2 linked regions of the Xenopus tropicalis genome follow. The protein of the gene in region 1 purifies or fractionates together with the protein of each later gene. This does not show direct contact. Links are inferred from orthologs where the notes say so. Each region holds a gene or a part of one and is shown on either strand. Other genes may lie near its edges.

Region 1 (7,584 bases):
GCAGCTGGATTTCAGCATATAAAAATGGGATTTATTCCTACTTTTTGAACGAACAGATTACAGGGATAGGGATATTAGGGGTTTCTGTGTTCTCTTTAACAAATTTTGGTTTCGGAAGCCAGAGTTCCCCTTAAAGGCTCGATGATAATAATAAACCTTAAGGGGCCACTATACCGTGGTCTTTTTCCTTTAGTATTCGTCTAATGGCAGTGTTAAAGGGCCAGTTACACAAGCAGTAAATATAATTTCTATGCATCTGTAAATGTATTTTTGTTTTACCGACATCTTTAAATAAAACATTTTTACTGTCTAATTTTCATAGGGGAGGACTTCATCTTATTAGCCCATTAAAGGGGCAGTAAATACCCTCTTATTCAGCATCAGTGCAATGAATAGGGTTGAGTTGAACATACGTTTTGCCTGGCTTATGAGCACCCACGTAGTAAAGCTATTAAACTTCCAATAATGTATCTTGCTAAGCAAGGAGGGGCTTAAAGGGCCCCAGAGTGCTGCCTCCACAGCTACTAAGCAGCAACTATTTGCCTTCTTCTGACTCTTTGCAGCTCTCAAATGGGGGTCACTGACCCCGGCAGCCAAAACACTTGCTCTGTGAGGCTACAGTTTTATTGTTATTTTTCATTTATATAATTTTTCCATTCACGCCCTCTCCTATTCATATATCGGTCTTTTATTCAAACTGCGCTCTGGTTGTTAAGGTAATTTAGATCCTAGCAACCAGATAGCTGCTGAAATGCCAAGCTGGAGAACTGCTGCACAAAAACTGAAATCATTAAAAAAAACTACAAATAATAAAAAATGAAGACCAATTGCAAATTGTCCCAGATTATCTCGTTCTACATCACACTAATAGGTAACTCAAAGGTAATATATGGTGTTACCGGCACTTTGATGTATAACTATTTCTTCTTGCTGTGCTTTAATTATATATTAAACTTCAATATGAACTTTATAAGAAGCAACTTTCCCAATATAAACTTACTTACAAATATGTATGTTTTTAAGTTAGTCCCTCATTTTTACTGCGTCTCAACCAATCAGTTTCCAGAGATTTCTTGTAAAACAAGGCAACTCCCAGCAACCCTCAGCTGCCGCGTCCAATCCCTATGTCAGGCACTTGCTGTATTGTCCTTTAGACCAGGTCCAAAAGCAGACTTGAAGTTGGTCTATTTTGCTTTCTCATCCGAGGAGGGGAGTGCGTGGGGGAAAACGATCCATAGTAGCTGCGCTGTCCAACATGTAGTGGGTTGATTATTTCTCATACAGCATGATGGAGGGTCATATAGTGAAGCCTATGGAGTCTCTGGGCAGACTGGGGGGGGCGCACATCTGGCCCGCACCCCTCCAGTTGGACAGCCCGCATAATAAGTTTATGTGGGAAAGTTATACAGAAAATAATATAGGCTGTTAAATGAGGCTGTATATCCCCTTTAAAGGGGTTGTTCACCTTTAACATTTAGTATAATGTAGATAATGCTATTTTAAGATAATTTGCAATTGGTCTTTTTTTTTTAACTGCAGTTTTTTTAATTATTTAGCTTTTTGTTCAGCTGCTCTCCAGGTTGGAATTTTAGAAGCTATCTGGTTGGTAGGGTCCAATTTAACCTAACAACCAGGCAGTGGTTTGAAAGAGAGACAGGAATATGAGTAGAGGAGTGCTTAAATAGAAAGATAAGTAATAAAATGTAACAATAACATTGAAGCCTCATACAGCAATAGTTTTTTGGCTGCCGGGGTCAGTGACCCTCATTTTGAAACTGGAAAAGGTTTGAAAAGAAAGGTAAATTAGTCAAAAACTATAAAAAAAAAAAAATGTAGACCAATTGAAAAATTGTTAACCTGAAGGTGAACCACCCCCTTAAGAAAGTTTCTGGCATGTCCTACATATGTTTTCTTCAATAGCATATAGGCAATGGTATGTGTACGGCGGCTATAGAAAAAAAAATGGAATTGGCTGATTTACAACAGACTTTATGACAGCCAGCAACTGGACTTTTCACTTACAAAGGGTGGAGAAATCACCCATTTAATACCTTTAGTTATGTGATTGGAAACAGGAGGGGCTCGTTGTCCAAGTTAGTTTGTAGTTTGTTCTATCATCTCCCACTGATGTTGGAAATGAGTATCTATACACGGCCGCTATGTACCAGCAGCTGCATCTGTCTGACTTTGTGACACATTACTTTGGAACATTCCGGCATCCTTTATTTTATTCTAAGCACACAGCCTAAGTGAGTTGTAGTTGCACTACACCTCCCCTTCAACTCTTCTACATAGCTAAAGCCCATCCTTGTGCAACTGATGCTTAGGGTTGCCACCTTACCTGCTGAGGAACTTTGGGCAGAGAGGTAGGGCGGGATGTTGAAGGGGCGGGGCCGTGATGCAGCAATTGGCCAATTGCCATGTCAGTCTTCAAGAATCCTGGCCGGTCTTCCAAATTGGGAAAACGGGGCAGGTACAGGGTCGGACTTGGGGGTGCAGGGCTCCAGCCGGCCTCGTCCCCTAACCCCCCCCTCCCCAGGGGCCTTGTTCTCCCCCTGACGCCCTCCCCTGAGCGCACGTAAGTTTAGCTCATCAGGGGAGGAACGATTAAGCAGGGTCACTGGGATTTTTCCCACTGTCCCGGCAGCCCAGTCTGACCCTGAGCAGGTAGTTTTGACCCAGACAGCCCTACCGAAAACTTTGCCGTCTGGGTCTCTCTCCCCCTAGCTGGACAAAGGCCTTTCTAGCCAACATAGGGTTAAGGTGGCCATACATGGGCTGATTGTAGCTGCCGATATGGGTCCCTTATTAAGGTCCCCATACACTGGCCGATAGAAGCTGCCCATATGGGTCCCTTGGACTGACTCGGCAGCTTATCGGCCCGTGTAGGGGCAGAAACGAGGATTTTTTTTTTAAGCTACTTGCTACCCGATATCGCCCACCCGTAGGTGGGGATATCGGGTGAAGATCCGCTCGCTTGGCGACATTGCCAAGTGAGCGGATCTTACAGTGTATGGGGACCTTTAGACTGATTCCGCATCTTATCGGGCCGTGTAGGGGCGGCAACGATGGACCTGCCCGACATCTGGCCTGAAATTGCCCAGATATCGATCGGACAGGTTAACAGATTTAGTCGGATCGGGGGCCGCATTGGTTTGTTGATGCAGTCCCCGAACCGACTGCCCCATTACCCATATTACCCACCCGTAGGTGGTGATATCGTGAAAAGATCCGCTTGTTTGGCGACCTCGCCAAGCGAGCGGATCTTAACGTGTATGGGCACCTTTACTTTATATTAACCCTGTGCTCACACAGGCTGACAAATACAGCAACTAGACAGCTGGACATTACAGAGGTACAACACTCACACCGAATTATAAACCTGGCACAAGCCACCACTCTATTCCATTTTCAGGCCCACGGCAGTCGAGCACAGACTCAGTTATTTATTGATGGGGCAGAAAGCAGCACAAAGCTGTTTCCAACAACACTTTCCCCCTCCATCATGGCCGCTTGCTCCCGACAGCACACGGCCGCCCAGTTCTGGGGACGTCACTTCCTGTAGTTAAGTTACCTGACTGGGGGAGGGAGAGTGAGGCCGCGGTGCAGTGTGGGTCGGCTTGTTGGTGGGAGTAGCGGGCTGTACCACGTGGTTAGGTACTCTGCCTCGGTTTCGCGCCCATGAATCTCCTCAGCAGCTTCACGCCTCCCGGCGACGGAGTCCGACGGCTGCAGCCCGGCACTGAGGCAGTGGTGGGCGGCAAGGGGCTCGGCCCTGGGACCCTCTATATTGCAGAGAGGTAAATCTGTCAGTGTCATGGCTGCAGTGAGCCCTCAGGGTGCGGGGGTCGTGGTTCAGCTGTAGCTGCATAACTGGCTTTGAGTCAGACTAACTGCGTCTCAAGTTACATAGTGGCACCTTGAGTGGCTCACTAACCCAACACTGGGCAATTCGTTGCTAGGCAGAAGCCCCATGGCAACCAGTTACTGTTCAACTTTCATTATTCTGCCTGTGGCCCAACATATGGAATTGCTGGTTGCTAGGGGTTACGGCCCAGGTACCTCTCTGCCCATTGTTGGGGGATGCTGATCCATTTTGTTATAGTCTACAGTTTGGGCATTTCCCCCATTGTGCCAAGCTGTAAATTATATCATTATAAACGGTGCTGAGACTTGTATATTATAATTAAGTACCCCCTGTTGCCAAATATAAGGATATTAAAAGTCACCTTCGGCCTCGTGCTTTTATATGTTCATGTAACTACTCGGTGACTTATAATATCCCTATATGTTACAATAGGGGGCACTTTATTCACTATATGTTATAAGGAACTCCTCGGGGGCTTATAATATCCCTATATGTTACAATAGGGGGCACTTTATTCACTATATATTATAAGGAACTCCTCGGGGACTTATAATATCCCTATATGTTACAATAGGGGGCACTTTATTCACTATATGTTATAAGGAACTCCTCGGGGGCTTATAATATCCCTATATGTTACAATAGGGGGTACTTTATTCACTATATATTATAAGGAACTCCTCGGGGACTTATAATATCCCTATATGTTACAATAGGGGGCACTTTATTCACTATATATTATAAGGAACGCCTCGGGGGCTTATAATATCCCTATATGTTACAATAGGGGGTACTTTATTCACTATATATTATAAGGAACTCCTCGGGGGCTTATAATATCCCTATATGTTACAATAGGGGGCACTTTATTCACTATATATTATAAGGAACTCCTTCAGAGCTTATAATATCCCTATATGTTACAATAGGGGGCACTTTATTCACTGTATATTATAAGGAACTCCTCGGGACTTATAATATCCCTATATGTTACAATAGGGGGTACTTTATTCACTATATATTATAAGGAACTCCTTGGGGGCTTATAATATCCCTATATGTTACAATAGGGGTACTTTATTCACTATATATTATAAGGAACTCCTCGGGGACTTATAATATCCCTATATGTTACAATAGGGGTACTTTATTCACTATATATTATAAGGAACTCCTCAGGGGCTTATAATATCCCTATATGTTACAATAGGGGGCACTTTATTCACTATCTATTATAAGGAACTCCTTCAGAGCTTATAATATCCCTATATGTTACAATAGGGGTACTTTATTCACTATATATTATAAGGAACTCCTCGGGGGCTTATAATATCCCTATATGTTACAATAGGGGGCACTTTATTCACTATATATTATAAGGAACTCCTCGGGGACTTATAATATCCCTATATGTTACAATAGGGGGCACTTTATTCACTATATATTATAAGGAACTCCTCGGGGGCGTATAATATCCCTATATGTTACAATAGGGGGCACTTTATTCACTATATATTATAAGGAACTCCTTGGGGGCTTATAATATCCCTATATGTTACAATAGGGGTACTTTATTCACTATATATTATAAGGAACTCCTCGGGGGCTTATAATATCCCTATATGTTACAATAGGGGGCACTTTATTCACTATATATTATAAGGAACTCCTCGGGGACTTATAATATCCCTATATGTTACAATAGGGGGCACTTTATTCACTATATATTATAAGGAACTCCTCGGGGGCGTATAATATCCCTATATGTTACAATAGGGGGCACTTTATTCACTATATATTATAAGGAACTCCTCTGTGACTTATAATATCCCTATATGTTACAATAGGGGGCACTTTATTCACTATATATTATAAGGAACTCCTCGGGGACTTAAAATATCCCTATATGTTACAATAGGGGCTGCTTTATTCACTATATATTGAGTGATTGTGTAGCGTATTTGTTACCTGTATAACCTGCTGGCCATAGGCTAAAGCTGGCTATACACGGGCCGATTGTAGCTGCCGAGGTTGGTCCCTTAGACCTATTCGGCAGCTTATCGGTAGTGTAGGGTCCCCGAACCGACTGCACCTATTACCGGCGTTCTAACTCGATCGAATTAGCTTGAATTCCCCCGATATCCCCCACCCGTAGGTGAAGGAGAAGATCCGCTTGTTTGGTGACCTCGCCAAGCGAGCGGATCTTAACGTGTATGGGCACCTTAACACACATTCCTACACATATTGTGTATAGTACTGACTGTATTATATATATATATATATATATATATATATATATATATATATATATATATATATATATATGCACAGTAACCAGCGTATGGTATAGTCAGTACAGTGTTACCCTATATGTTGGGCTGGCATATTTTGCAGCGCTGAATGGAGATTATACATCATTCCTGCACCAGGGGAGTTTGTAGTCTATAGTCTCTGTAACATACACTAGGTCCAGTTTTAGCAGGAACCAGTTATTCTGCCTTTATGTTGGGGGGTGAACCGTAGCACTTGGGGGGTAACCCACACAGACATGTACAGGACATATATATTCTTTGTAGATGGTTCCCTTGCTGGAAGCAAACCTAAGGGTGAAGACACATGGAGCTGCTAGTAGCAGCTACTTGTCGTGGCTACTAAATGCCAGAAAATCCCCTGCCATAGACAATACTGAGAATTGCCTCAGCTAAAACACATATAGAGACAATTATCAGTAAATGATCAGCATTGTCTATTTCTGTAGCCACAACAAGTAGCTGCTACTAGTAGCTCTGTGTGTCTTCACCCTAAGGGTGAAGACACATGAAGCTACTAGTAGCAGCTACTTGTCATGGCTACTAAAACAGACAATGCTGATCATTTACTGATAATTGTCTTTACATGTGTTTTATCAGAGGCAATTCTCACTATTGTCTATGGCAGGGGATTTTTTGGAGTTTAGTAGCCTTGAAAAAGTAGCTGCTACTAAGTAGCTCTGTGTGTCTTCACCTTAAGGGCTCTGGCACACAGGGAGATTAGTCGCCCGCGACAAATTCTCTTGTTTAAAACCTCACCAAACGAGCCAGTCTTATAGAGCTGCCTTTAGGGCTCTGGCACACGGGGAGACTAATCTCCCCGAGTTGCCATCCCACCGGCGAAAATGTAAGTCGCCGGTGGGATGGCACATGCGGCGGCGCGATTTCGCCAAATCGCCGAAAATGCCTTTGTGAGGCAACTTCGCCGATTTGGCGAAATCGCCTGCGCAGCGTGTGCCATCCCACCGGCGACTTACATTTTCGCCGGTGGGATGGCAACTCGGGGAGATTAGTCTCCCCGTGTGCCAGAGCCCTAAAGGCGGCTCTATAAGATTGGCTCGTTTGGTGAGGTTTTAAATAAGAGAATTTTTCTCCTGATATGGTAACCTACAGTGGGCAATATTGGGCTAATTGGATCATTTGGTTACAATGACAGGGATAAGAGCCGTTGGAGTGAGGACCACATCAATGAGATGAACACAGTCCTTTATTGGATTGGTGGGGTGGGTGGGGGGCCACATACATGGGCAGATAAGCTGCCGGATTGGTCAAGACCACTGTGACCCTTATTATATGGCACAGATAGAGTTAACAGGATCACCCCCTACATTGCCAGTTACTTTAGTCTCTGATTGTCAGTCAGTGCAGGGGCTCATTTTTTTATATATAATTAGGGATTCACCAAAT
Region 2 (7,358 bases), on another chromosome or scaffold:
ATGTTTAAACCCTTTACAGTGAGCAATAAAGACATAAAGACATGGCTAGATGCTTTTTCATAAAACACAACTGCAGTTTTTCTGGCAAGAAGGAAGTCCTACCTCCTAAGAAAACAAGCTACTGCTAGCTCACTATTGGCTTTATAACAGAAGGGATTTTAAACAAAAATCACACTTTTAATTTTTTTGATGTTCCTCTTTAGATTACTTTGGAAGAAAACAAAGTAGCAGCACCAAAATAAGCAAACTAACCTCCACCTCCTCTGCCACCACCTCTGCCACGTCCTCCACCTCTCCCTCCACCTCGTCCACCTCCTCTGGGAGGACCTTTCTCACCAGGAGGCCGAGGTAGAAACCTTTGCAGTGGAAGCAACTTTGCTGGGTCAATGTAAAACTGTTGAAGAAGAATACAGTTATATTATAAACAGCAAATGATACATAATCATGCAATGAGAGCCAAAGACAAGCATGTAGTATTTCTTATACAGACAGTATCAAAAGAAAAAATGATGTAATTGCTAAGCAATAAATAGAGTTTATACCAAAGCAGGGCTGCCATCAGGGGGGGGTACTCCCCTAAGACATAAAAGTATGATACATGGGTTATAAACGGTGTGGGGCTTAGGGTGGCTCATGGCCAAAATTTAGAACACTCATTTAAGTCATTTTAAATATGTATATATTTGTTTCTAATGATATGTGCCACTGGCTTATCACAAAATGAAATGCTGTCATTTTAGGAAGTACAGTTAATTCTTCTTCTGGCTTGTAAAAGCCATGATACAAACACACAAACCAATGACATACATAAATGATAGGGATAGGTCCAAAGAATGGACAAGTGTATCTTTTACTCCAATACTTCTTCCTGTTATTCTAAGAACCACCATTTTGTTTTGCTCATTCCTGTGAGTGATTCTATAAACAAGCATGCACAGCATCACTAAATGGTGAAGATATAAAACAAAAATATTGATATGTTAACACCAAATTAATTAAAATCCTTTGATAGGTCACTTAGAATACGAATTTATTGGTCACATTTTCCTTTAGTTCCACTTTACTTGGCTACAGCGTTTCATGCGTGTAAGGGAGGCATACTATAAAGACAAACATTAAATAGTTCAACCACAGAGAAATGCTTACCTTCTGTAATTTCTTGAATGAAGATGCTTTCATGTTTTCAGAGAGTTTAATAGAAAAATACTTTGAAAATATTAAGGAAGCACTCATAAAAGTTACTGGAGACAATATAAGAATGTAAGAACCAGTAATTCTTACACAAAAAAATAACATCAAAAATATTTCAGAAGCATATGGAGCCCAATCTACATATTGTGCAAATACACGTGTAGATTTAAAGGAGAAGGAAAGGTAAAAACTAAGTAAGCCTTATTAGAAAGGTCATGTAAATACAGCCATAAGCACTCAGCATAAGTCCTCTTTCAAAAGAAACAGGATTTGTTGTTTCTTTGTTTTCCTGTGCCATAGTCTGCACAGCTCCCTCCTGCTCCCCCGTCCCTCAAGAATGCTAAGAACTCCCTCCCCCCCCTTAGGAATGTGTGATCTGAGCCAATCAGCAGGAAGCTTCCTCATAGTCTTATTAACTGAGCATGTACATAGGTCTTGGTCTCGGTGCAGGAGCGAGGCACTATGGGACCTTTCTTTACAGAGTTCAGCGGGGTTTTTTTCCTATGAGGCTTCTGATTATCTGAACCAAAGAAATATGGGGAGACTTAAGGGCACTATTGAGAGAACTGATGGTATGCCTGATTAACTATTTATTAGCCTTTCCTTCTCCTTTAATGAGGTATCAGCTAAAATTAAAAAAAAAAAAAAAAAAGTTCCAATGTTAAGTGATGTTGACCGTGGAAATAATTTGCTGTAAAGGATACAAAGTCTCTTAGCTGCCCAAATATCTCATCCACTTTTCCAATCTGTTCTTTATTCTCAAGGTATATGGGAGCATTGAAATAAGGCACTCTGTTTTCCTGTGTAATGCATTTACACACCACATCATCTTCACATGGATGCATAAATTCCCCAACCTCTGCAAGACAAAAAGAAATACATGCATATGAGTGGAAGCAGCATAGGGGACACTACAGACATTTGCTTTCAGCTAGAAACTGCTTTGGAGAAGAGATATATACTTGAAGAATTACAAAAGTGACTGAAGGATGTAGAAAAAAAATGATTATGATTGCAAAACTTTGCAGGAAATCAGAGCAGTCGAAAGACTTGGAAAAAAAAATATACATATAAATATATTTACCAACAACACTCTCAGGAGGACCTTGGTCATATCCTCCTCTGTTGAAGCCTCCACGTCCGCCTCCTCTTCCAAACCCACCTCTTCCACCACCCTGTCCATAACCTCCACGGCCACCTCCTCTTCCTCCAAAACCACCACCTCCTCTTCCTCCTCCTCCACCTCTGTTAAAGCCTCCTCTCCCTCGGAATGACATCCTTATTGAAAGAATAGTTGGAGCAGTGATTTTTAAGTCATCAATAAAAGTCAAATGTAATGAAACAATAAACATATGTCAGTTTTAAGCAGTCAGTAGGGTGGCTTTACAATTACCCATACCAATAACCTATAGGACACTATTAAAATTATTATGCAAATACATGTACAGGTGCTACTTGGGATATTTGAGACTTGGGGTTTTTTTGGATAAGCAGCCTGTTAAATAAAAAAAGGACTGTATTGTGCTCATCATATATTTATGCGAGTCTCGTTACCATCAATGAGAAGTGATGAACTGTTTGTTAAATTGGACACTATTGGAAATGGCATTCCCACATAATGCTGATTACTGATATTAGGTTTCTGGATAATGCATCTCATACCTATATGTCTCATGGAACTTTTTCAGCTTCAAATTGATAAGCAAAATGGGGTATTTATAAATGTTAAATAGAGATTGTGTCACTGAACTACATAAAGACAAAACTCTTCCAAACAATAAGTAACCCGAAGATCTCCATATGTGTTTGGACTACAACTCCTAGTTTTCTACCAACAGATGTCAAAATGCATGCATTACCATGCTTGACAAAGAATACTATCTTCGAGGTAGCATTTTGCTATGCAGGGGCAAGCTCATTTAATGTACTAATCCTACAGTGGTGCAGTACAGAGTTAGAATCTATATTTGCTGCATTGTGGGGGGAATATATAGTGCAAAGTTAAAAGGAAAACTATACCCCCCAGAATGAATACCTAACCAACAGATAGTTTATAATATGCTAAGTAGGCTATTAAAGAATCTTATCAGTAAATATTGCCCTTTCCCTTGATTCACCATTTAGTGATGGGCTGTGTGCTCCCTCTGAGATCACATGACCAGAAATAATGCAACTGTAACAAGAAGTAGTGTGGAAGCAAAAGACAGAACTGTCCACTGAATACATGTGTGCCTTGGCTTGTTTGTGTGCACTGTGAATCTTATGATCCCAGGAGGCAGCCCTTAATTCTTGAAATGGCAATTTTCTATTTAGGAGTACCCAATAGCACATACTACTAAAAAAGTATATTTTTATGAAAACGGTTTATTCAGATGAAGCAGGGTTTTACATATGAGCTTGTTTATGCAATATGTTTTTATAGAGACCTAATTGCTTGGGGGTATAGTTTTCCATTAGGTGAAGTCACCTAAACAGTTAAAAATCATACAGTTTAGCCATGCATTCAAGCAACCAAATAATGATTTCTTTAACGGGTAAAAGATTGTTGAATCTCAGGTAGTCTGGGCACACAGTTAAGTAGTCATGTCAAACCTCTGTGATCAGTGTAACACTATTTAAATGGAAATCGAACAGAATAATAAAAAATTTTAGTTACATTATGGGGCACATTCATCAATGTACGATTGAGTCTGAATACTAAAAATTCATATTTTTTCAAAATTTTAGAACGGTGCGTATTTTCTGCGATTTTCTTGTTAATTTGTGCAACTTTTTCATTCTTTGTGACAATTTGTACGACAAAATCATATTTGTCGCAACGAGTACGAAAGTTTTGGAATTTATTAAAGCTTTGTTATCGTAGCTTTCCTTTGGCCAGGTCGGAGCTGCAGAGTGCCATTGAGCCCTATGGGAGACTTTCCTTGGGCCGGGTTGGAGCTGCAGAGTGCCATTGAGCCCTATGGGAGACTTTCCTTGGGCCGGGTTGGAGCTGCAGAGTGCCATTGAGTCCTATGGGAGACTTTCCTTGGGCCGGGTTGGAGCTGCAGAGTGCCATTGAGTCCTATGGGAGACTTTCCTTGGGCCAGGTTGGAGCTGCAGAGTGCCATTGAGCCCTATGGGAGACTTTCCTTGGGCCAGGTTGGAGCTGCAGAGTGCCATTGAGCCCTATGGGAGACTTTCCTTGGGCCAGGTCGGAGCTGCAGAGTGCCATTGAGTCCTATGGGAGGCTTCCAAAATCATGCACAGAAGTTTAACAGTTTTTGCACTGTCACTTTGATAAATGTGCCCATATTTGTCTGCCATAAACATTTGCTTACATGAAGATGAACTGAACTGCAACTTTAAACAACCCCCTGACACACTTTGATAGTAAGCATAGTATTAGTTGAAAATCATTTCATGTGCCCATCACTTATGTATATAAGCAATGACATAACTCCATGATCCCCATACTAAATCCAGGCAATGGATGACAAAATATTATCTGACCAAATAGCACTGGAGGGCCTGGATGTATAATAATGTTAAAATCAATGTTACATGAATTAGTGACCTGTAATGATCAGGGGTGAAGCACAGAGTGGAAGAATATCGTCACAGGGAAGTATAACCTCCAGCCCTCCATGCAGGCTCAACATCTGTTTGATCCGAGCTAGAGAACAGTATTTTAAAACCCAGGATAGCAGTCGTACACCCTTACTTTTCATCTCAACGATCATTGGACTGGACAAATAAAATGAAATGCATGTTTTAAAATGACCATGACAGATCGTATCTACCCTCAATTAAGCAATGAGTTACATTTACCTTTAGTTGCGTTTGGCTTCCTGCATGCGGCACTCTGAAACTACCCAGAGTACACTCCGGCACACGTTCCCACCACTTCCGACTCAACAACACGTGGACTGCGTACATCGTACTTGGGCGCACAGCATTCACGTCATCAAACGGCGCGGCTATTAAAGGAAACGCGCTTACGTGTTTGTGTCCATTTACTGAACTGAATGAATGGAGTCAATGAGAGCTTCTGTGATTTGGTTAGGGAAAGGCAAAGCTGGACGCACCGCAGAAAATAACGCATATATTTAGCTTATTACCGAGCAGCCAGTAATTATGGTACCGCTTGGTATTGTAATTGAACTCAGTTGCTGAACTAAAATACCCCATTAAAAATGGATTTTACATCGAAAAGCAGTTGAATTAATCCCATTGGGTGTATGTAAAAAATCTTTTGGGGATGGGGCTAGCAAGTAGATAAAATAATCATGAGTAATAATTCTCCAATTATTTTTGGCAGCAAGGCACAAATCTAGAGAGTGGGAGGGTAACACACTTAAAAGAAATATGGGAAAGCTGAACTGGTTATGGATTTAACTAGCCCAATGGGAGAAAAGAAATGCTATACAGATACAGATATAATTCTGTGTGTGTTGGGGGGTGGAGGTATAGTATAACTATTTCTAAATATACAAAATTACTCGCACATAGAACAAAAGTACACAAGGTTTGGACATTGGCCCTTAATCACAGGACTTGACCAATTAATGACAATTACATTTACAAATAACTTTTAAAGCACTGAAAATCTTTAATAAATTCATTTTGGAAGGTTGCCTAGAATTATGTTTTTTTTGTATTGGGCAAAAATGTAGTTTTGGGATTGACATGTCTTTTAAAGATTCGGTTTGGCCAGGACCATGGATTCGACTGAATCCTGATGAAAAAGGTAGAATCTTGGCCAAATCCCTAACTGAATCCTGGATTCATGCATCCCTAATTTGCATTAGAGTATCAAAAAGCAGAGGATAAGTCCAGGCAATGAGAACAGGGTAGTGTCCTTTGGCCTTGGCATCTAGAGATCATTTGCAACTCTACATAAGGATGTTTCAGTGGAGGGTGCAGCTGTTTTAAAGATAGAAAAGTACCAGAAAATTGTTTGCGGGTAGAATTGACTTTGCTTTTAAAATAGCAAAGTTCCAGGGGCTATGTTTAGACGTGAGTGATTTATTTGGTAAAGGATGAAGAAGTGAGTAGAATATGGTAACCAAGCACCATGGATTGTTTTTATTATTTATAAGTGTATTATAGTATTTTTGCTTGGCCTGGGATAGGGCAGCATTGAGGCAGTCCATAAGAAATGTATAGCGGAGGGAGTCTACTGTACACTGTGCCTGCAATGAAATGTGGAAGGGGGGGGGGGCAGCACCCTGTGTATGTAAGGAAATTCTGGGGGACCCACACACTTTTCCTCTGCTGAGATGTTGGGGGCCATACTCTGTGCCTGTTGTGAAATGCTGGGGGACCCACACACTATGCCTCTGCTGAGATGTTGGGGGCCACATGCTGTGCCTGTCGTTATTGCTGGGGGAGCCACACACTGTGCCTATTGAGAAATGCCTGGGGGGCAGGGCATATACCACACACTGTGCCTATTGAGAAATGCCTGGGGGGCAGGGCATATATTATGCCTGTCGAAAAAATGCAAATGAAATGTTGGGAAGGGCAACACACTGTGCCTGTGGTAAAATGCTGGGAAGGCCAAACAATCTGCCTGTTGTCAAATTCTTTGGGGGCCACATGCTGTGCCAGTTATGAAATGCTTTGGGGGTCTCACATTGTGCCTGTCAAAAGTAGTCCCCATTGGGCAATTATGATTTGGTTTGTTTTGAGTTTTAATACCTCAATAAATGTTCCATATGCATCTTTAATTGCTCAACGGGCATCAACTTTGCTAGTTTAAATACAATTTGTGCTTTACAATGTGTTTGCTTCTGAAGTTCTATTATGTTCTTATTTAGCTAGGTTTTATGGCATGCTCTGATTGTGATATGGTGGTACTCCTCTGTGATCACTAAAGTGAGTGCAAATATTTTAATTTACAAAAATTTAAATATAAGCTTCATATAATGAATATAATATGAACATATAATATGAACCGCGCTGCCATGTTTCTTGATCCAGTTTTCACAAGCCAACTACCCAGGGCCAGTGAGTTTTTATAAAAGGTTAAATTGGCGCCCTCTCCAGTGATTTAAGGTTTTGTTTTCCATTAAATACCTCCTATGTCATTTCCAAGAACTGATTTCCTGAGGGGACAATTTTTTATCTATTACATCCTATTGTAACACACTACAGTGGCCAGAGTCACAAAGGAGCCCTGGAAGTTT

Evidence for each region.
Region 2: the proteins of clns1a (region 1) and gar1 purify together in Homo sapiens (affinity purification with mass spectrometry; 3 studies listed by BioGRID and IntAct, counting the BioPlex papers as one, with this or other methods). This does not show direct contact. The link is inferred for Xenopus tropicalis from reciprocal best matches to the Homo sapiens genes CLNS1A and GAR1.

What each region holds. Positions count from the first base shown.
Region 1 is NC_030678.2:168,854,601-168,862,184, reverse strand, and holds the start of clns1a (methylosome subunit pICln), read left to right. Parts: upstream 1-3,646; 5' UTR 3,647-3,681; coding exon 3,682-3,800; intron 3,801-7,584. UniProt on the Homo sapiens protein: Involved in both the assembly of spliceosomal snRNPs and the methylation of Sm proteins.
Region 2 is NC_030677.2:68,653,967-68,661,324, forward strand, and holds the start of gar1 (H/ACA ribonucleoprotein complex subunit 1), read right to left. Parts: upstream 5,060-7,358; 5' UTR 4,999-5,059; intron 2,470-4,998; 5' UTR 2,469-2,469; coding exon 2,276-2,468; intron 2,051-2,275; coding exon 1,896-2,050; intron 1,207-1,895; coding exon 1,147-1,206; intron 395-1,146; coding exon 253-394; intron 1-252. UniProt on the Homo sapiens protein: Required for ribosome biogenesis and telomere maintenance. Part of the H/ACA small nucleolar ribonucleoprotein (H/ACA snoRNP) complex, which catalyzes pseudouridylation of rRNA.